Pelodiscus sinensis: one gene and its partner. The protein of the gene in region 1 binds, or shares a complex with, the protein of each later gene. Links are inferred from orthologs where the notes say so. Each region holds a gene or a part of one and is shown on either strand. Other genes may lie near its edges.

Region 1 (10,966 bases):
GGAGTCAGGTGGGGGTGCTCCAGGCAGAAGTGTGGGAGGTGCAGAAGTCAGGGCACGAGGTTGGGTATGGGAGGGGCCCAGAACAGGGGACTGCAGTCAAGGGGGCTCAGGGCATGGGATGTGGAGGGGCTTAGGGATGAGTGTGTGGCCACCACACTGCCTGGTTGCCTCATCCGCAGGGCCGATCAGGGGGTCCCCATAGCTGCCCCTAGCCTGAAAGACTACGTCTTCACTGCAGGCTTTTTGCACCAGAACAAACTTGCACAGCATCTACACTGCATATGTGTTCTTGCGCAAGTAAATTTACAGTAGAGCATCAGAAAAGAGGGTCTCTTGCAGAAGAGTTATTCTGTTCCCCATGAGGAATAAGCCCTCTTGAGCAAGAGCTGTTGCGCAACAAGGCAATGTGGATGAGCAATAGGGGTTTCTTGCACAAGAAACCTCTATGACTAAAATGGCCATCAGAGCTTTCTTGCACACGAGAGTGTCCACACTGTCATGGATGCTCTTGCACAAAAGCACATCCCTTGTGCAAGAGCACATGGCAGTGTGGACACGCTCTTGCGCAAGACCTTTTGCGCAAGAACTCTTGAGCAAAACAGCTCTTTGCGCAAAAAGCTTGCAGTGCAGACGTCGCCCAAAAGTGTAGTTCTGTTGATTTCCAATATCAAGATCAGCTTCTCTCCAAGAATATTTAACATAAGCACTTGTCTTTTTTTTCCCAACTAGGAGATTCATAGCACCACATCTCAAAGGTTTTAATTCAAACTGTGGATTTAGCTATAGCTCTATGCTTCAAATCATCCAATGATTATAGACCAGATATTGATTTCACTTGCACTAAGATAGGTCCACTGAAGCCAAGAGTTTTAAATGAACATGAAAGTAATTCAAATGAGAGAGGACTCAGATCTTAGGAGTCTCCCAAGTTTCTCATTTTCTGCTACTCCTATCTCTACGATTAGCACCATGACCAAGGTTCAACTGAATTTGTATTGAGTTTCTATTCTGGTTATGAGGATTGCTGAATAAAAAACAAAAATGAAAAAAGAAACCAAATTTAATAACAATGCACTACTGTCAGATCTTCAAATTGTGTAAAGTGGTGGTAGATTCATTGAAGACAAGGGTACTATACTATCATACACCAGCTAAGGACTTCATCAAATATATGTAGCTACAAGTCACTTGGGACAGCCTAACTTTTTTTCTACAATCTCTAATACATAGCACAAGTTGCACAAGTTCCTCTTTAGAGAGAAAAATGTTATAATTGTAGTACTAAAATAATTGTGTTAAATTACAGAAAAAGATTTTGCAAAATAGTTTTACTTAAAATGGAAAATTCAGTTAGCATGAGATTCACCAAATCTCAGACTTCACTAGCCATTCCTTCTTCAGATGATCTTAGGCTTGCAGAGCCAGCCACTTTTATGTCTGCATTTTACTGTTCAAACATTCTAACACTTCCTGCTTATTAATCTGGATTTTCAAGCACCCCTGTAAAGTGTCCTCTCAAAAGATCCAGCATCTCTTCAGTTGTTGCTGCAGTTCTCCAATTCCCACTAAAAAACAAGATTTGTGTCAATGACATCTTATGTCCTTATGGGTATGTCTACACTACCCTCCTAGTTCGAACTAGCGGGGTAATGTAGGCATACCACACTTGCAAATGAAGCCCGGGATTTGAATTTCCCGGGCTTCAATTGCATAAGCGGGGAGCCGCCATTTTTAAAACCCCGCTCGTTCGAACCCCGTGCAGCGCGGCTACACGGGGCTCGAACTAGGTAGTTCGGATTAGGCTTCCTATTCTGAACTACTGGTACACTTCGCGCTGCATGGGGTTCGAACCAGCGGGGTTTTAAAAATGGTGGCTCCCCACTTATGCAAATGGCGGCTCCCCACTTATGCAAATGAAGCCCGGGAAATTCAAATCCCGGGCTTCATTTGCAAGTGCGGTATGCCTACATTACCCCGCTAGTTCGAACTAGCGGGGTAGTGTTGACATACCCTTAGAAATGGTCCAAGAGACACTCATGCTAAAGTGAGGGAAAAACATTTAAATGATGGAAATCTGCTAACCACTGGTAGCTACAATACAGGGTGAAAATAGGACTTTATTTTAATTCTTAATGCAGGAACATCTTAGTGGTTTCTTTTAAATAAAAATGTTGAAGTTTCTCCACCTGTGGTCTAGGGACCATTAATGGGTACCACATGTGGGGGGATGTGGCTATTGGGAAATGTACTGAATCCATAAAAGGGTTTATTTTAAAAAGTGGTTACTGCAGAATGTAAATGTCAATTATCCATTAGAATGGTAGTTATTTTAATTTGCTAGGGTATCTGAACTGCCAGTGAGAAATTATACAACTAAAAAATGGAAACCATGGGAAAAATTAAAATGAGAGTCAATACGGAAATTTTCTCCCTTGTCACACTACATCTAATACGTGTGTTACAGGACCAACACCTTTCAGATTCTTATTTCACATAACTGGCACAATTTTTTCAGCCAGCCCATACAGTCTTGTTTGGTTGACTTCCTCCCTTTTCCATTCTCATTATAGTAGCCATGTCTTGTTCCTGCCAGTCCTCTTGTCTCTTCTTCCCCCACTAACTTCCCGAGAAGTTCTGCCTTCATTGAGGTATGTTCAGATTGTTCAGTCTTTTTCTACCATTATGACTTGAATAATTCCTCCCATTTGACTCTGATCAATGGATATTTTAATACTTTTATTAACCCCTTCATTACACTGTTGAATTCAAGTAGCTCACAAACACACCATATCGTTTCTTTATTTGCCTCATATTTTTAATCACTTCCTCCTAACTGGTAGCAAGTTAGTCCAAGATGACTTCTCTTGTGGCTGCATTTTTTACTTCTTGGGTTATAAAACTCTTTCCTGTGTAACTCAGCATCTCACTGATGATGCAAGTTTGGTTGTGAGTGAACCCAAAAGATATCTGGGCATTTTAATCCCCCCGTGAGTCCAGTACCCTGTAGTTTCAAGAACTTTAAGCACAGTCCCTACATGTAGCCTTAATTCTCCACTAGTTGTGTGGCATGATTTATTTGTCCTAGAAATGAAGCCTTGGACATAACTGCTGGAGTGTTTTTTTTAAAATCTCTGCTTACGTTAGATTCCAAAGAGTTATATATGTTATTTCCCTAAATTATTCCATTATTTTACCCGAGAGCTACTTTTAGCTTCTAAGGATACTGGCTTCTGATAAATCCCTTCACATTTTCTCTCTTCAGTCACTCCCAGCTTCCCCAAACACCCTAGCTTCTTCTCCTTATTCCAAAGCCATCTTCCATCTCCCCCAGTCACTCTTCTCTGTATTTAAATCTGTTTCTTATACACAAGCTCCTCTTCCCCCATCCTTCCTTCCCCCCTCATCCTCTTTCTGCCTTTGCTTTTCAACAATTCTCACTGTTGCCATACTCCAGATTCCTGCCTGTTCTTTCTTCTGCTCCCTCCACACTCTGGCCCTGCACCATTCCTCCCTCCCTCTACCTCAAATATATCCCAGTTGTTTCACTTCGAAATTCTCAGTTACTCCTCCATCCCCATTTTCCCCTATCTTGACTCTTAACATTCCCATGACTTTCTGCCCTAAGGTTTCACTTTAACTTTCACTCATGATATTGCTTTTCTCCATTCCCTGCCTCATGTCTTCCTTGCCTCCATCACTCACTTGGACATTCTTTCTCTTAGTCTACCTGGTAAAGAACCTCCAACCTTCCCCTTTGCTCTGCTTCACTTTCAAATCCCTCCATCTTCCTATTCCTTCCTCCTCTTTTCTCTGCCTTCCTTACTCACCAGTTCACCTCCCTCAAATTCCCCAGGTTCCCTCCTCCATGTCCCCCCAAACAAAGTCCCCCGCACTTTTTCCCAATAGATTATTCTGAGCAACCCTGCATGAAGCAGCAGCCAGTGTTCTTAGTTTCCTGCTGCACTACCTCCCTTCCTCCTCCTCCTTCACAGATGAATGAAATTTGGGTGAGAGTAGGAAAAGAGAGAGAGAGAGAGAGAGAGAGAGAGATTGAGATTTTTGTCTGCTTTCTCCCCCTGGCTGAAAGCTGGGAGTGCTTCATTCTACATAGTTATATCCTTGAACCCTAGCATTCACCCTAGCATAGAAATCTATTCAAACAACTGATATAAGAACAAGTTCTTGATTTAATCTGCTTTCCACATTTGTCAGTGCCTGGAGTGCTCCTGTCAGGTGAGTATAAATAGCCATTGCATTGAAATGTCTAAGTTAAACTCTGCTAACTTGTTTGAGAATTTCTGAATGAAAAGCAGCATTATGACCAGACACAGAAGTGCTGTCAAGAGCAGCTGTCAGCACCACATGAAGGAAAACATATGTCTGCAAAGATCTGAATGGGGCTGGAGAATTTCAGCACTACTGCCAGCTGGACAGAGATTAGAGAACAAACATTTCATTGACACAACCTTCCTAGTTTGGATGAGCTTGTTTCTTGGGGATTCTAATTACAACCATGACTAATTGTTAGTTAGTAAACAGCTAGAAAGCCGACTGTCTTAATGTAGCTCTCTAAATGAAAACAGTGATAAGAGCTGCTTTTAACACTCTCAAAACATGATGCTCCCAGCCTCTTAAATACCAAGCATGACAAATGACATGAAGAGTTAGCCATTTTAATTTCAAAATAAACTGCCAGATACAAACACATTCATGTCCCCTGTTTGTCTAAATCTAACTTTCACTCTCGGATACAAGAAACAATGTTCCCAGATGCCACTGTTAACTCACCTACCTTTTATTCATAGTATAGGCTGCCTGAAAATCCGTGCAAACAGGTTATATTACAACTCTTCAGAGGAGAAATGCAGAGTGCTACTCACCTAGGATGTTTCCAATGAGAGCCACAATGAAAACAACAATATATCCTGCAATCAGGACCCATTCATATTCTTTTGGATGCAAATATTCTCTCCAAAGGTATCGCAGAAATTCCTCATCATCATAGTCAGCAGAGGGGATTGACAAAGGCTCCCGAGTATCATTCCATTCTGGAGCAGATGACCAGTTCCCACAAGAAGGGGACTCATTATCCAGTTTTGTCTCGGACATCACTGGTTTTAGCCTGGGTCTGGGATCAAACCTGGTCAGTACTTCTAGCTTCTCTGAAGTCCATCCATTTACACTTGTGCTGTGGAATGGCAAGCCCAGTGTGAGGAGAAATGGAGAAAAGGAAATGAAAAGTTACAGAGCCAATGATGAGGGAACCTTTGACAACTTCTCCCACTACCTTGGCAGCACTTCTCAGCAAAGCTGCACACACAGCAGCTCTGGGAGAGGGAATGAGGACTCGGCATCAGAGTCTGCTGTGACAGAGGAGCCGGCACAGCACATGCTTACAAATGCATAATTCTGGCACAGACTCTGCAATACACAGCAAATCCTTAGAGGGAGAAGGAGGAGTGGGCACTTTGCTTCCAAATGTGAGAGTACAGGCAGTCCCCGGGTTACGTACAAGATAGGGACTGTAGGTTTGTTCTTAAGTTGAATTTGTATGTAAGTCGGAACTGGCATCCAGATTCAGCTGCTGCTGAAACTGACCAGCGGCTGAGTACAGGAAGCCCGAGGCAGAGTTGCTCTGCCCTGGGCTTCCTGGAATCAGCCACTGATCAGTTTCAACAGAGGATGAATTTGGACGCCTGAGACAGAGCAGTTGGGGCGCTGCCGGGTAGGTCCCCGCAGCGCCGCACCTCAGCGCTGCAGGGACCAACCCAGCAGCACCCCAGCTGCTCTACCCCAGGTGTCCCCAAGTCAGCTGCTGCTGAAACTGATCAGAGGCTGATTCCAGGAAGCCCGGGGCAGAGCAACTCTGCCTCAGGCTTCCTGTAGTCAGCCGCTGGTCAGTTTCAGCAGCGGCTGACTTGGGGACACCTGGGGCAGAGCAGCTGGGGTGCTGCCGGGTTGGTCCAGTAGCGCCGAGGAGCGGCGCTGTGGGACCAACCTGGCAGCGCCCCAGCTGTTCTACCCCAGGTGTCTCCGCGAGAAAAGCCTGGTCTGCTGGGGGGGAGGTGCACTAGCTGCGCCCCCCCCCCAGCAGACCAGGGAGACGCGGAGCAAAGCTGCGGAGCACGCGGGCAGCAGGACAGCCCAGACGCGCCGCGGCTGTCCCGCTGCAGGCGTCCTCTGAGGCTTTGCCCACATCCTCCGCCACCCATGTCCTCCAGGGCGAGAAAAGCTGCTCCACGTCTCCCTGGTTTGCTGGAGGGGAGCCCCCCCAGCAGACCAGGGAGACGGGGAGCAAAGCCTCGGAGGACACCGGCAGCGGGACAGCCGCGGCGCGTCTGGGCTGTCCTGCTGCCCGCGTGCTCCGCAGCTTTTCTTGCCCCGGAGGACGCAGGCAGTGGGACCTACGTAAGTCGGATCCACGTAACTCGGGGACTGCCTGTATATGTAATCCAACCTGTAAGCAAGTGTGTATGCTCACTGCCTGTGTATACACGTGTGCTGTGCAATGTGGGGCTCACATTTAGGAATCCTTAGATGTACACTTACACCTGTCCTTGATATTCCAAAACTACCCTCCCTAGCTCGTCAGCCCCTTCTCTGTGCTGTTGCCCTTCCCCTCTGCCTCCTCTTCTCATGCCTCTTTCTGTAACTCCAGTTTGTTTTCCTCCCAAGTTTCTCCATGCAGCCTTCTCTCTGTACTCCCACCCACATTTCCCCTGTCCTGTTCCAGCTTGACACATCACTAAATTTAACTTCACTTTTGGGGAGAAGAGTATCAGCAGTGGAAGAGAGCTAGAATGGGGGTAGCTACTGAAATCAGTTATCATACCCTCCCCCAAAAAAAGTTGCTGAGTTTTCTGATTTGTGGATGTCAGTTCAATGGTATTTTCTGCAAGACACCATTCTTCCACCAATTGAGAGACATCAAAGCACAGATGATGTCATCCTCTGTCTCCCTCGTGTTATCAATGGTGCATGGCTCTCCCCAGTGGTCTTATTGGGAATCCTGGGCCTGTAATGCCAACAATTCCTAAGGTCTCTGTGTCACTCTTGCAGGTCAAATAGGCAGACCTATTCCCCGAGCCCTTACTCACACCCCACAAACTAGAGTCAGCAGAGGACATTTTTGGAAGAACAGGAGGCAAGAGGCAACCACATGAATATCTCCTCATTGCTGTATGGGGTTCTAATCCCTCAACCACTTTCCATGGAAAATAACTAAACTATTTCAGGAGCTGATGAAGTACATAGTGGCTATGTGTTTCAAACCCCAATAGTGAAGGTCAAAGGCTTTCATAATAAACTTCTGGACATATTGCATGCTTCAAGCTTCTGCCTGCAGCCCTCCTTGTGAATCTGGCTTTATTAGAGCCTGCTAAGACCATCTGGCAGACTCCAACTGTACAATCCACCACCAGTAAATGTGCCAACTAAAATATTGCATTTTAGCAAAGTACTTGGAAGTGTCACTGAATTCCCTGGTTGTGGAAATAGTAAATGAATGAGACAAACAGCACAAAACAATTTAAGAACATCATAAACAAAGGGCAACTCTTAGAGAGAAGATTATTGCAGTCTTCCTTGCATATAGCTGATATCGGAGCCAAGTCCATTTCCACCATAATCATGATGTGATTTCCATTGTGGAAGCAGATATCCAGTTTCTCTAGGGAATTGCACAACATTGCTGAGGACCTCCCTATGGATGGCCACAGTTGTTCTTTTAATCGACTGGTGAGTTTCTTCACATCTTGAAAGACTTGTGGGTTACACTTTGATCCCTCACAATTTATATACCTGCAACTAAAAGAGAATGTAGCAAGTCTCACACATTCCATGGTTCTTTCCAATACATGTCTTGAATTTCCACTGGCAACCCTGAATCACCAGCCAAGAGACCAAGATATTCAATAAACAAGCCAATCAAACACCACAGCTACTTTATCTCAGTCACCCACGTTATCTAAATGCCAATCCATCTTCTGTACTATCTTCTCCATCTTTGCCACCTTGGATACTGTCTTTCCCTTTTCCAGCTTGTGTGGGAGAGAATAACATCCAGAAAATGGGCTTTGGAAGTAATAATATAAATGTATTCCTCCTTTTTGCCTTCATTTCTCCCTTCCACACCCTTTTCATGGACCCATCTCACAAACATTTGCTGAGATATGAAGTTACCACTTTTCAACATGTAGGGGTTATGAAACCTGTTCAGTCTAGCTCTGGGGATGCCTTTCTAATTGCACTGACTTCACTGAGATAGATTTGGTACCCTTACCTCATTAAACTTGCTTTTCATTCACCAGTGCAACTTCTAATCTGTTACATCAGTTGTCACAGCATGCTGGTCATACACATCACCCCAATCTCAAAGTTTGAATCCAGGCACAACTTCTACATTGCATTAATCAGCCAATGGGCCTATCACACTGTAGCCCCTCCTGAAGGTATAGCCTCAAAGGCTAGATTTTTTGCTTACCTGGAATTGTAGAGTTACACAATCCCCAGAGATTCCTCAGGAAATATATTTAATATCTATTGGCCCATTGACATTTTATTTTTGTTTGTTAATTTTCATTATAATCATCTAAAGGGGGAAACCATCTCTAGTTATTACATTTTAGATGTTCCCAAATCATATCAGCATAATAGCTTAACTGGCTACATTTGACTGTTTATCTATTTTTATTACACCATCTCTAGCAATACTATTATGATTTAAACCTTAGTCTTCTTGTACATTCATGTGAACTATAAATGTCTCTGATGCATTAAACTCAATTTCTTATTTATCAGAACCAAACTATGTAACAAATGATGTTTTCAAATTTACAAGCCTATAGAGAATATACCAAATCTGAATTAAGAAACTTAAATTCCAATTTATATCTGTCAACCTTTTCCCCCAGTGAGGCTAATGTCTGGCATTTCATTTAGGTGAAAGAAGAGAGACTGATATATGCAAACTTAACCCATAATCACTCATTTAAATTTCCACAAATACCGAAATAAATCAGTCATTCCTAGTAAAATATCTTGTAGCTTTCAATTTATGATGTTACATACAAAAATTATATTATACAATATAAATATTAATCCAACTCAATTTATATTTTGTAGCTTATGCTATCTCAAAGGTATTGCCATCATTCAGTTGGAGATAAGACCAATCTAGCCCCCCCACTTCAGGGTTCAGATTTTATTTTTGCTTCAAGTACATTTTCCTTCTGCTAGTATGAATTTTATAACCGACATATATTTAATAACACAAATAAGCAGCACCTCTTTCTACTTTACAGATCAGTTTCTTCATTTTTAAACCTTTGTGACAAAGAACCAAAAAGACTGAGTTCTGCATGAACTTAGGAGCATCTGAAATGAGAGACCAGATTTGATTTTTCACAACAGAAAGCAAGATTTATGTTGTCAGAAGTCCACAGACTGCTGCTTAAAGGTCATATGAGCTCATGGATACCAATTCAGCAAAGCATCTAAACTCGTGACTAGGCCTGTTCCTAGTCAGCAAAGTACTTCAGCTCATGCTGCTGAATAACAATGGACTGCTGAATTGGGACCCCAGAGAAGGTGGCCATGGAAATCTGCCCTTCCCCGCCTCACCTTCCTTCCATTGCTCTAATTTCACCATCTTCTACTGCCCCCTTTTTTTCCTCTTGATCTATCTACCTCTCAGCATCTTGGCTGTTTACCAATTGCCATAACATCATGGTCAAGCTGCAAAGAAGGACCACTCACAGCACTTGCCTTCAAGAGATGCATCAAACAAATCCCACTGCTTTGGCAGCAACACTGAGCAATGCCTGACAAGCAGCAGGGCTCTCCTCAACTCAAATATAGTGTGGAAGAGGGAGAAAACAGAGAGAGAGGAAGATAAATGAATGGTAAAAGCTTTTATCAATTTTAAATCCCCACAGCCATTAATATTAAATGAAGAGCAGGCCATAGCTGCAACATCCTAGATATCTAGAGCACTACATTAGAAATTACACAGCCAAACCCATGATTTTTAGAATAAAGAATGTGATCATCTATACACCTTAAAATGGAACTAAAGACAATGTAGGCAGCCTGGCATTTGTTTCAGTCTTACATTTGTTGCAGCATTAATTCACCTTGTTTTGTAATTTAAATGTAGCTTCTCTCCCAAGGCATGCCTCAAACCTCCTCCCCTGATGTTTGCTAATCAGAAACCCATGGCTTCTCTCCTCTCTTCTCATGGATTGAGTCCTGGGTTCCTTATTTCCACACTTGGTGAAAACTGACTCCTCTCTGTGCTTGGAATACAAGGGGGCCTTCCCTTGGGAAAATGACCAATACTATTCCTATTCGCCAGGAATATAACACAGTAGAAGAATAACACAATAAATTAGGACTAGCCACAAGAAATGAAAAATATTACACAGGGGACTTATCTGGAGCCAGGACACAAAGGATATAGGGAAGGAAAAGATTAAGATTAAATTTAGATGCTCTTCACCCCCATGCATTCACCACTGCACACAATCCCCAGCACCCTTCCAGGCAGATGAGATGCTGAGGATGAGTGCTGCAGGGCTGTGAATGATGACTGGCTTAAAAAAAAGGAGCTCCCTTATGGTGTCTTCACCCCTGCAGGGTCAGAGTTCTCAGCTGGCTCCCTGATCTGTCCCTTACACCAAGGACACAGCAGTATTTGGTTTATTCCTAGTTCAGTCTATTACTCCAGGACAATTGCACCTTAAACCTCTCTCCAAAGACAGCACTTGTAGGATATTATATAAAGATCTATTAAATGGGAAAGGGAAACAAGAAAGTTATTTAAAAGGCTAAAGCAGGGGTGGGGAACCTTTTTTGGGTCAGGGGCCTCACACAAGTGAGAAACAAAAACAAACAAACAAACAAATCCTCACTAACATGGCCCCTGACTGAGAAGTAGAAAGACATTCCCCCCATTTCCTTGCACACA
Region 2 (11,368 bases), on another chromosome or scaffold:
CCTCTAGATGTTCAGCTGCAGCAGTTTCCTCGTGACTCGGTTTCCCTCAGGTTAGAGGAGCCCTACAGACTAGATCCTGAGCACCAGAGAGACCAAGAGCCGGGGTTGGATTCCACCACCTCCCTAGGGAACCCATTCCAGTGCTTCACCACCCTCCTAGGGAAATAGTTTTTCCTAATATCCAACCTAGACCTCCCCCACTGTAACTTGAGCCCATTGCTCCTCGTTCTGCCATCCGTCACCACTGAGAACAGCCTCTCTCCAGCCTCTTTGGAACCTCCCTTCAGGGAGTTGAAGGCTGCTCTCAAAACCGCCCTCACTCTTCTCTTCCGCAGACTAAACAAACCCAAATCCGTCAGTCTCTCCTCATAGGTCATGTGCTCCACCCCCTAATCATTTTGGTTGTCCTCCGCTGGACCCTCTCCAATGCGTCCACATCCTTTCTATAGTGGGGGGTCCAGAACTGGACACAATACTCCAGGTGTGGCCTCACCAGAGCCGAATAAAGGGGAATAATCACTTCTCTATCACTTCTCTAGATCTGCTGGCAATGCTCCTCCTAATGCACCCTAATATGCCATTAGCCTTCTTGGCTACAAGGGCACACTGTTGACTCATATCCAGCTTCTCATCCACTGGAACCCCCAGGTCCTTTTCTGCAGAACTGCTACTTAGACAATTGGTCCCCAGCCTGTAACAATGCTTGGGATTCTTCCATCCCAAGGGCAGGACTCTACACTTGTCCTCATCAGATTTCTTTTGGCCCAATCCTCTAATCTGTCTAGGTCACTCTGGACTCTATCCCTGCCCTCCAGGGTATCTACCTCTCCCCCTAGCTTAGTGTCATCTGCAAACTTGCTGAGGGTGCAATCCATCCCCTCAGCCAGGTTATTAATAAAGATGTTGAACAAAGCTGGCTCTAGAACCGAACCTTGAGGCACTCTGCTAGAAACAAACTGCCAACCTGACATTGAGCCGTTGATCACTACCCATTGGGCCCAACAGTCTAGCCAGCTTTCTATCCATCTTACAGTCCATTTACCAATCCATACTCCCTTAACTTGCTGGCAAGAATATTGTGGGAGACCGTATCAAAAGCCTTGCCAAAGTCAAGGTATATCACATCCACTGACTTTTCCATGTCCACTGAGCCAGTTACCTCATCATAGAAGCTAATCAGATTGGTCAGGCACGACTTGCCCTTTGTGAATCCATGCTGACTAGTCCTGATCACCAGGGCTCACCGATGCTGATCACTTTCCCCTCTTCCAAGTGCCTCAAAATGGATTCCTTGAGGATCCCCTCCATGATTTTTCCAGGGACTGAAGTAAGGCTGATTGGTCTGTAGTTCCCTGGATTGTCCTCCTTCCTTTTTTTAAAGATGGGCGCTACATTTGCCTTTTTCCAGTCATGTGGGATTTCTCCCGATCTCCACGAGTTTTCAAAGATAATGGCCAAAGGCTCCGCAATGACACTTGCCAGCTCCCTCAGTACCCTCGGATGCATTAAATCTGGACCCATGGATTTGTCTAGCTTTTCTGAATAGTTCCTCACTTCTTCTTTCCCCGCTAAGGGCTGTCCACCTCCTTCCCCTACTGCGTTGCCTAGTGCATTTGTCTGAGAGCTCACCCTGTCTGTGAAGATCGGGGCAAAGAAAGCATTGAGTACTTCAGCTTTTCCCACATCATCTGTCACTAGGGGTGTGTCTAGACTACATGCCTCCGTCGACGGAGGCATGTAGATTAGCCAGATCGGCAGAGGGAAATGAAGCCGCAATTAAAATAATCGCGGCTTCATTTAAATTTAAATGGCTGCCCTGCTCTGCCGATCAGCTGTTTGTCGGCAGATCGGGGCAGTCTGGACGCGCTGCGCCGACAAAGAAGCCTTTCTTGATCGGCACAGGTATGCCTCGTGAAACCAGGTTTACCTGTGCCGATAAAGAAAGGCTTCTTTGTCGGCGCGTCGCGTCCAGACTGCCCCGATCTGCCGACAAACAGCTGATCGGCAGAGCGGGGCAGCCATTTAAATTTAAATGAAGCCGCGATTATTTTAATCGCGGCTTCATTTCCCTCTGCCGATCTGGCTAATCTACATGCCTCCGTCGACGGAGGCATGTAGTCTAGACACACCCCTAGGTTACCTCCCTCATCCAGTAGGGACCTCACACCCTCTCTGATCACCCTCTTATTGCTAACATGCCTGTAGAAACCTTTCTTGTTCCCCTTCACATCCCTTGCTAGCTGCAATTCCAATTGCGCTTTTGCCTTCCTGATAACTCCCCTGCATTCTCGAGCTATATATTGATACTCCTCCCTAGTCATCTGTCCAAGTTTCCACTTCTTGTCAGCTTCCATCCTGCTCACCCAGGATGTCCCCGGTAAGCCAATCTGGGCACCTACCTCATTTGCTTTTCTTGCTTCGCATCGGGATGGTTTCTTCCTGTGCCTTCAATAAGGCTTCTTTAAAATACTGCCAGCTGTCCTGGACTCCTTTCCCCTTCATGTTAGCATCCCTGGTCCCAGCTCTGCCACCAGACTCCCTTGAGTCTGTCCCTTCCCTGGGTCCATTTCCCCACCTATTCCTGGGACAGGGCGAGGGCTGAGGCTGACCTGACCTGGAGAAGCCCCAGGCCCTGCTCCTGCAGGCAGTGAGAGCCAAGCACTAGGGATGTAGTAGTGTAGAAGCAAAAGCTTATAGGTTAATGCTAGAGACTACACGCATCCCCCCTTCCCCCTCCCTGTCCACCCCTCTCCAGTACATTTTTTAGCAGGCTGGCCAGCAGCCCAGCTCAGTCCTGGCTTGTGCCGGGTCCAGGACCTACCCCCGCTGCAACTCTGCATTTCTAATATATTAGGAGCCAGCCAGGCAGGCAGCCCGGCTCAGTTCCGGCTCGCACCGGGTCTGGGAGCTCAGACCTCCCCTGGAAAGGGGCTGCTGCCTCTGTATCAGAGGCAGCAGCACAAGGTGACAGGCAGCCGGTCCACGAGGGGGAGCTGGTTTTTAAACTGGATCCCCTTGCAGACCAGCTCCCACCTGGCTCCCTGCACTGCTGCCTCTGATACAGAGGCAGCAGCGCGGAGTGGCAGGGGGCTCCTCAGGAGTGGGGCTGGAGCGCACTGGCTGCTGGGCCCACCCCTGGGGACTATCGAATAGTCGAGTAACGGATAAGAACTCATGAGGTTAATCGACTCTTCAATTAACCGATATTTACCATCCCTACTCAGCACAGTGGTGTTTCCTCCGCCACTTGGCGTGCTGGGCCGTGATGCCGGGACGTGCCTCGGGGCTCAGGGGAGCTGGTGGCTCTGAGGAGGGACCAGCACCCTGTGATCTGGGCTTGTACTGGGCACCCCCCTGTGCTCGCTCTGCCTGTGTGGGAACGCTGAGCTCCTGGACTACCCTGCCAAGGGACCATCCAGCCCAGCTCCCATCAGCTGTTCTTGGGGGGGCCCCAGTATCCTGGCCTCCCCCTACCCACCACACCTGGCTGCCATAGTTTGGGTCACGTGGTCCCTGCTGGGCCATGGGGCACGTGCAGATGAGGGCAGCTCTAGGCCCTTGGACTCGGCTGTGCCCTGCCTGAGCCTGGACCGGGGCCCCACTGTTGTGGGCATGGGGTGGGATGTGGGGAGACCCCAATCTTGCTTGCATGGGCCCAGTCAGAGACAGGTTGGGTAAGGCACCGTGCCTGCCCTACGATGATCCTGTGCTGCCACCTAGGGGCCGTGTGGGGCTCAGGCCACCTCCCTGAGCAAGCACCCTTCCTGGCTGGGCCATGGCTAAGGGGGCTTTACGGTGCTGCCCTGGGGAGGTTGGGGCCAGCGGCACATGGGGCGGCTGCACCCCCGGCTGCAAGTGGTTTCCATCACGTCCAGGGGTCACAGTTCGGTTCAGTGGCTCTCAGCTCCCCTCCCTGTTCCCACACCCCCTGCCCACAGAGGGATGCGTTCTGGCAGGTTCTTGCTGCTCCCAGCTGGGCGCGGTGGGGTCTGCAGCACGCCAGGCTGTGCTGGTGCCGCTGCGGCAGCGTGGACCCACGTTCCCTACTCCCTAGAGGTGGTAAATATCGGTTAATTAAATAGTCGATTAACCTCATGAATTCTTATCGGTTACTCGATTCGTCTGTCGTCCCGGGGGGTGAGGCCGGCAGCCAGTGCAATGTGGCCCCAGTCCCGAGGAGCCCCCTGCCATCCTCGGGGTGGGCAGCAGTGCAGGGTGCCAGGCGGGAGCTGGTCCACGAGGGGAGCCAGTTTAAAAACCAGCTCCCCTCGCAGAGTGACTGCCTGCCATGGTGCCACCCTGCGCTGCTGCCTCTGATACAGAGGCAGCAGCGCAGGGTGGCAGCAGCCCCTATACAGTGGGGGTCTGAGCTCCTGGACCCAGCGTGAGCCAGAACTGAGCCGGGTTGCCTGCCCACCTGGCTCCTAATACACTTGAAATGCAGAGTGCAGGGTAGGTCCCAGGAGCCAGGCTGCTATCAAATTTACTAGCGGGGGAAGGAGGAATGTGTGTAGTCTACAGCGTTAACTGATAAGCTTCTGCTTCTCGATGAATTGGTTAGTCGACTACACTATGACATCCCTACTTCTCCCCGCACAACACCCCCTGCCGGCTTGCACCGGGCAGGCACAGAGCTGCAGTACCCAGCCTGGACTCCGGGTGGCCCCAGAGACAGGCACCAAAGCGGCTCGTGAGCCGTAAAGGGGGCCGGGCGTGGCTCCCGCACCGCTGCAGCCAGGCGGGTGCCCTGTGCGCAGGACTGGGCAGGAGAACCCCAGCCCCAGGCTGTGCTAGCAAAGGGTCCCCCCACGGACCATGTAAACACACCTCAGCTTGGACCTAGAGGGGAGAGGGAGTCTCAGCGATTCCAGCCACATGTGAGCTGGACCCCCGTCCCAGAGGCCGTGGCTGGTATTCCAGCCTGAGGAGCAACTTGCAGCCTGGGGCTGTTCTTAAGCGGGTGTCACCAGGGAGTCTCTAGAGCCGGTGTCTCCCGGGATTCTGAAGAGCGGGGATGCTGTCAGCGGCGAGGGGTCTCCTGCAGGTGTGGTGGGTCCGGGGGTCTGTGTGAGGCAGGCCAGGCGGCGTGATCACCTTGCTCGCTTCTGCCCTTGGTCTCTGAGCTCCGAGGCCCCGGGCAGGGCTGTGCCGGGCAGGGCTGTGCCGAGCTGGCTGGGGCGGAGGGGCGGGGACACTGTGTGTCTCATGGAGCAGAGGCTGTGCTTTAGGGGCAGCCGCTGAGCAATGACTCTGCCTGGGGAGGGAGTGTGGGGGCCCCCCTCATGTGCACCCCCCCTGACCTTTGGCCTCCCCCCGCTGCAGGGCCAGGCCGACCTCCTGAAGCACGCCAAAGCCGAGGCGCTGGACAACCTGTGGCAGATCCACAACGCGGGCCAGTCATGTGGCATCGGCAGGAACGGCTCCGCCTCCCCCGACCTCGGCCGGGGCCGGGTCCCGCTGGAGCCCATCTCTGAGACAGAAGGGGGCAGCGACACAGGGTCCTGCTGACCATGGGGCAGGGCATGGGGGCCAGGACTGAGCCAGCGTCCCTGGCGGAGGGGGCACCCTGCAGCGTCTCCGTCGCCCGTGGCCCCCAGCGCTCCTGCCATGGACCCAGGATTGTACAGGCGTTGGCCCCGCCCGAGGGGCCCGCAACTCCTAGGCTCTGAACCACGCGTGTGAAAGACACGAGCCCCGTGCAGCGCTGGCTGCCGGCGGGTGGGGACTGAACTGCCTATCCCAGGGCCATCTAGACAGGGGGTTCGGGTGGGGGCGGGGCTGGCGCTCTGCCTGGCCCCTGGCTGGGCTGGGGGGTGAGTGTCAGGCAGGGACGTGGCTCCGGAACTTGTGGCTCCTGCAGCAGCTCTGGGGCAAGGTGCTGGGAGTGGGAGAGGGAGCCGGGCTGGCTCCAGCCTGCATTTCACAATCAAACTGGTACCCAGAGCCCCCAGACCCCTGATCCTCCCTCCATGCCCCCCCCTCCCCGCTCTGACTGCGCTTTCTGTAGCAGCAGCTCTGCCTGCGGCAGGTGGCTGTGGGGGAGCATTGGGTTAAGTCGGCTGTGAAAACTCTTCCCCCCTCCCCGTGCAGGTGCAGCGGCTGGTCCTGTGGTGCGGGGGGTTGGTGTTTGCCCAGAGACGGACCCCTCCCCCCTCCGCACGGCAGGGCCACGGCAGTATCTGGCAGCTCTAGGGGCACCCGCGGGCGCCCAGCGAGCAGACGGGGTGGGAGGGGCACCGAGCGGACCACACCTGGCCCCTCTCGCCACCCGCTTGCCACACTGGTTCCCAGCTCAGGGCTGGGGCATTTGCCTGCGCCGGGCTCAGCCCTGCAGCTTCCAACCTGAGCTACCCCAGGGCTGGGAGGGGCCAGACAGGATGGTTCCCCCTTTTCCGGGGCTGCCCTCTGGCCCATCTGCTCTAGAGAATGTTCCCGGATAGGCTCAGAGTTCATGGGCTGCCCTCCCCCCCAAGTCCCATATAGGGCTGAGAGTGGGGGGAGGCCCAGAGCAGGGAGGTGTGTGGCTCAGGAAGCCACGCACCATCCCTGTGGTTCCTTGGGTGGGGAGGGGTGGAGTCGCAGAGCCTGGAAGCCCAACATTGGCCGGGGTGTCCACCCCCCGCGCCCTGTGTGTTCAGAGCTGAATGAAAGCAGTGGCATGTTATAAAGAGCCTCCCCCCTCACGCTGGTGTGCCTGTCTCTGAGATGGGGTGGGGGCTGGCTGCACTCCGGAGACGGGCAGGTGCCCTGGGCGGCAGGGCCTGGGAGGTCACGTGTGGGTCTGGGGGATCCTATGGGCAAGCTGGCCCTTAGCAGCCAGGAGCCGTGCTGGGCCTGGCATGGGGCAGCCCTGGGGTGCAGGCAGCCCACAGCGCCCCCACATCCCAGACTGCAGTGGCCTTAACCTGCGAGGGTTCCTGGGTGGGGGGCACTGTGCTGCTCCCATGGTGACTGCATGGGCCCAGGGACACCAGGCCCAGGGAAGGAGCGGGATGGGGGTGGGGGGTGTGCAGACTTTTGCTGCTGTGACGCTGGGCTGGCCTGGGCTCCCAGCCTGCAGGGGAGGCAGCGGTAACGTGCCCTACTCTTGCGCCATTCCTGGCCAGGACGCCTGCCGCTTTGGCCACATTACTGTCCCCCGACCCTGGCCCGTTGCCGTGGTGACTGGCCCATAGCCACGTGCCCTTGGCTTTCTGGGATGGAGATCCTGTCCTCCCTCTGGGCCCATGGGGAAAGCTCCCCTGGCAGCGGGGCGGATGGGGCTGGTGAAGCTCTCACACCCTAGAGTTGAGGAAAACGCCTCCTGGCCTAGCTTTGCCGGGCTGCTGCTGCACCCCGGATCCCGGCCCGGGAGGGGGAGGCCCAGAAACGCGGCCCCCTCCCCGGGAGCAGGGCTCCCTACGGACCTCGGGCCCGTGTCAGCTGTGTGCTTTATCCCCCCCACCCCACCTGTGTGCAGTCCAGGCCGGGCCCACGTCAGCTCCCCACACGCAGCCATGGGGCCTTGGCCTGTATCTGGGGGTTTTCAGCCAGGGCTGCCCCCACAGTGACGGCACTGACAGCCTCTCCCCCCGGGGGGCTGGGTTGCTGGGGTGGCTCTGCGTCACTGACCCACAGGGCATGGCTCTGCCCCCTGCTCAGTCCCCTTCAGGGCTCGGTGCATCTGGGCTCATTTCTCACAATGCCAGCCCCTGCTCCTGGTAGCCTGGGTGCTGTATGGAGAGTCAGCCCCCACCCCCATCAGCCCCATGTCAGCTGGAGGTCTCCAGCCCGTGCTGCCTGTAGTGCTGTGGGATGTAGGGGGCAGCTTAGGGCTAGCGGAAGTAGTCAGCTATGTGCCACGCTGCTGTTCCTGCCCTTAGAGGTGCTGGGGAGAGTCCTGGCTTCCGGGAGGGGGGGGGTCTTGGTCCCCATGAGAGCACTGGGTGGCTGCCATGGGCCCAGGCTGCCTGGGATGCTGCTGATAGGCCCAGCCAGACTGAAGTCACACGCACCCCCAGGCCTGGCAGGCCATGAGAACGGCACGTTTCACCCCTGGGCTGTGGCCACGGGGCCGTTCTGGCATGGCCACGGGCTGGGGGTGCTTCTGCCACCTCTGAGCAGTGGCCTATGGCTGGGCAGGGTTGGGGGAGCCGTGTAAGCCCCAGGGGCAGAAGGCACCTTGTGTCACGCTACTGACCCCTCCTGGCTGAGGCAGGAGCTGCAGGGAGCCCTCGCCAGCCTGCCGTGGCCCTGCTGCAAAGGGGGCTGCGGAGTTTGCCCTGTGCCGTGGGACCGACGGCCTGTCCCGGGGGCCACCCCCATGCTGCTCCCGGGGGCGATCCAGCTTGCAGAGCCGTGCGTATGGCTGGGGACAGATGCTAGCCTGGGGGCGGCAGTGGGGCAGTTCCTACGGCTGCCCATCCCTGGCCCAGATCCACCCTGGGGCAGCAGCAGCTCAGAGAGTCCGACGGGGCCCCGGGGCTCAGCAGGGAGCCCTGGAGGCCCTGGCTGGAGGAGTAATAACCCAACTCCCTGCTTTCTTGCCCTCACCGGTGCCCCCACTATAAAAACTGTTCCAGCCCCTCTAGTGGGGGAATTCTCCCGCAGGCAGGGCCTGGGGATCCGGAGGCGCACCGTGCCACGAGCGCACAGGGCCACGCCAGCGCCTCTGACGGGTGCAGCTTGGCTGTTGGTCACCCTTTGTCGGGACGCGGTAATTAGCCTAATGGGGCCCAGTCTCCCCCCTCCCTGCCTGGGGGCTGCTATTGTCTCCCCTCCCTTCCCAACCGCCGACCTTCCGGCTGCTTTGTGCCGCGCAGGCTGGCGGATTCCTTAGGAAATTACAGGCTCATTAGCGCCAGGGTACGCGGCCTGTCTCCAGCCAGCACGGCCACCAGGCGGCCGGGGCATAATGGGGAGTCACAAATGAGGGAACGGGCCTGGCCCGTCTCCAAGCAACGGGGAACAATGGGCGCGTGTCGCCCAGAGACAGGCCCTTCCTGCAGCCCCGGCCCCACGGCTGCCGGGGCTATTTTTGGCAGCACTGTTGTGTGGGGGCAGGGAATGAGTTTCAGGGTGGCCCAGCCCTATATAAGCCCTGGCTGCCCGGGAGCTCGGCTCAGGGTGTTGAGGCACCTCACCGGGTCATGCCATAGCTTCGCGCCGTCCCTTGAAGACTTCTCAGAGCGATGGCAGCGCCCAATGCCAAGGTACGGGCCAGGGCATGCGGGGGAGCAGACCCCAAAGGGTGAGTGCTGTGGCATGAGGGTGGCTTTCCTCCCCAGCAAGGTTCCCCTGCTGCGTTCCCGAGGGAAACCCTGCCAGCCACGGCACCAAAGGCTGGTGTGTCGCAATGTGTCCCAGCCCCGCGCCCGCGGGCAGTTCTGGGGAGGAGCCCAGCACATCAGGCCCTGGGGGGATGCAGGCCAGGGAGCAAGTGGCGTCTGCTTTGACTCTTCCTGGTGTCTCCTGATCGCCGACCTGGCACCTGTGGCCTGAGCCACCTTGGCCGTGAGGCTACGGTGTCAATTGCTCCCTGCTCAGAGCTGTGGTGCGTCGCACGGGGAAGCGCAGCCCTCACTTAGGGTTGCCAGGTGTCCGGTTTTCGCCCAGACATCTGGTATGTTGGTTTGGGTTTTTTTTTTCTCTTTCTCAAGAACTTTGGCTCCCCCCCCCCCCTTTTTTTTTTCCTCCATCAATTTTTTTCCTGCCATGTTCGGGGGTTTTTGTGAAAGCATCTGGCAACCCTGACCTCGCTGGGCGCCGGGCAGTGCACAACCGAGCCCGCAGTCAGAGTGAAAGGGAGACTGGGCAGCTACAACATGTAACGCCTCCCTGACCCCGCCAGGGGCCTGCGGCAGCTGGGGCACGACCCCTGCCAGCCACGCACATAACAGGCTGAGCTGCTCACCAGCACCAGTCCCTGCCTTGCCCCAGCAGGCTCCCTGGGGGCAGCTTTGTCTCCATGACGCACCCTCCGCCAGCCAGGGGGCCAATTAGTGCTAATTGCCACTGTGGCTGCTTCTCCCTTATGGAAATGGGGGGGGGGGGGGGGGGGCTTTCTACAGCGTTGCCATGGGGCGAGGGGCAGAGAACAGTGAGTGAGTCTGGCCCCTTTGGCGCTTTGCAGCAGGTCACTAGGGCCTGTGCACAGGGTGTGTGGCAGCTAGCGCTCCTGGGCTACGTCTCGATTTTTCGTAAAAAGGATGCAAATTAGACGTATCGCAATTGCGAATGAAGCGGGGATTTAAATCTCCCCCGCTTCATTAGCATAAAAATGGCTGCCGCTCTTTTTCGGCACGGAGCTTTGCCGGAGAAAAGCGCCAGTCTAGACGCGGATCTTTCGGAAAATAAAGCCTTTTCCGAAAGATCCCTTAGCCCTCTTAAAATAAGGGTCTAGTCCCAGCTGCGGGAGGGCAGTATGGGCTAGTGGTTAGGGGGCAGGAGGCCCACAAGAATGTTGCGCAACCCAAGCCCTGGAGGTGGCCCTGGGAGAGTGGGGCATGCTGGGTATTTTGGGGGCAGTGTTTGCGGAGAGTTCACAGTGGGGCAGGGTAGTGAGGTGGCGCCCGCGTGGGTTTTCTGGGAGAGGGAGGGGCTAGGCCTGTGAGGTTGGGGGGAGCGGTTTGGGGGACCTTGTTGGGGCCCTCCACGGGCTGGTCTTTGGTACCAGCCAATCTCTCCTTGGTGGGGTCGGCACCGCAGGGCGTCTTGCCGGGGCTCTCAGAGCCCAGATGCAAAGCTAGATGGGCCCCTGGGCTGAGCTGGGGTGTCGCTGGGTTTATCCCCGTTGACACCCGCCTGGCCCTGCGCTCACACTTGCCTCTTGTGCTCACAGATCCACAAGGCCTCCTGCCTCCTGCTCCTGGCCCTGCTCTGCTCCCTGGCTGCGGCCGGGCAGAGCATGCCCGTGTGCTGCCGCCAGAAGACCTGCCCATGCCGGGTCTATGACGTGCTGCACGGCCTGGGGAACCATGCTGCCGGCATCCTCACACTGGGCAAGAGGAGGAGCAGCTCGCAAGCCTTCCAGAGCCAGCTCTACCGCCTGCTGCACGGCTCCGGCAACCACGCTGCCGGCATCCTCACCATGGGCAAGCGGGAGGACCTGGCCCCAGAGCAGCCAGCCTCGGCCTGCCGGGACGCCTCCCCCTACCCCACCGGCCTGCTGCCTCTAGCCCCGTGTGCTGCCAACACTGACCCTGCCAGCACCAGGGAGTGCCTGGCCCCGCTTGACCAGGGCCAGAGCGGGGTGGCTGCAAAGAGCTTTTCCTGAAGTGGCCAGAGGTGGGGGGAGCAGCAGCCCGAGGGCAGGGAGGACCCACAGGGACTCTTTTAATGACCACGGGCCATTTACAAATAAACCCCTGCCTGAGGCTCAGGGCTGTCT

The links.
Region 2: the proteins of HCRTR2 (region 1) and HCRT are in contact, whole or in part, in a cryo-EM structure (PDB 7L1U), measured with the Homo sapiens proteins. The link is inferred for Pelodiscus sinensis from reciprocal best matches to the Homo sapiens genes HCRTR2 and HCRT. Residues at the interface, in NP_001371201.1 of Homo sapiens: Thr111, Val114, Trp120, Pro131, Gln134, Thr135, Val138, Gln187, Val209, Cys210, Asp211, Phe227, Thr231, Ile320, Ser321, Asn324, Lys327, Arg328, Phe333, Ala334, Thr336, Arg339, Val342, Tyr343, Phe346, His350, Tyr354; in NP_001515.1 of Homo sapiens: Asn89, His90, Ala91, Ala92, Gly93, Ile94, Leu95, Thr96, Met97.

The regions. Positions count from the first base shown.
Region 1 is NC_134713.1:42,993,207-43,004,172, reverse strand, and holds the start of HCRTR2 (orexin receptor type 2), read right to left. Parts: upstream 5,432-10,966; 5' UTR 5,110-5,431; coding exon 4,881-5,109; intron 1-4,880. UniProt on the Homo sapiens protein: Nonselective, high-affinity receptor for both orexin-A and orexin-B neuropeptides. Triggers an increase in cytoplasmic Ca(2+) levels in response to orexin-A binding.
Region 2 is NC_134739.1:9,249,207-9,260,574, forward strand, and holds HCRT (hypocretin neuropeptide precursor), read left to right. Parts: upstream 1-6,815; 5' UTR 6,816-9,170; coding exon of another isoform or gene 9,171-9,191; 5' UTR 9,192-9,205; coding exon 9,206-9,229; intron 9,230-10,819; coding exon 10,820-11,254; 3' UTR 11,255-11,359; downstream 11,360-11,368. Other genes in the region: inactive phospholipase C-like protein 2, read left to right, coding at 5,323-5,508. UniProt on the Homo sapiens protein: Neuropeptides that play a significant role in the regulation of food intake and sleep-wakefulness, possibly by coordinating the complex behavioral and physiologic responses of these complementary homeostatic functions.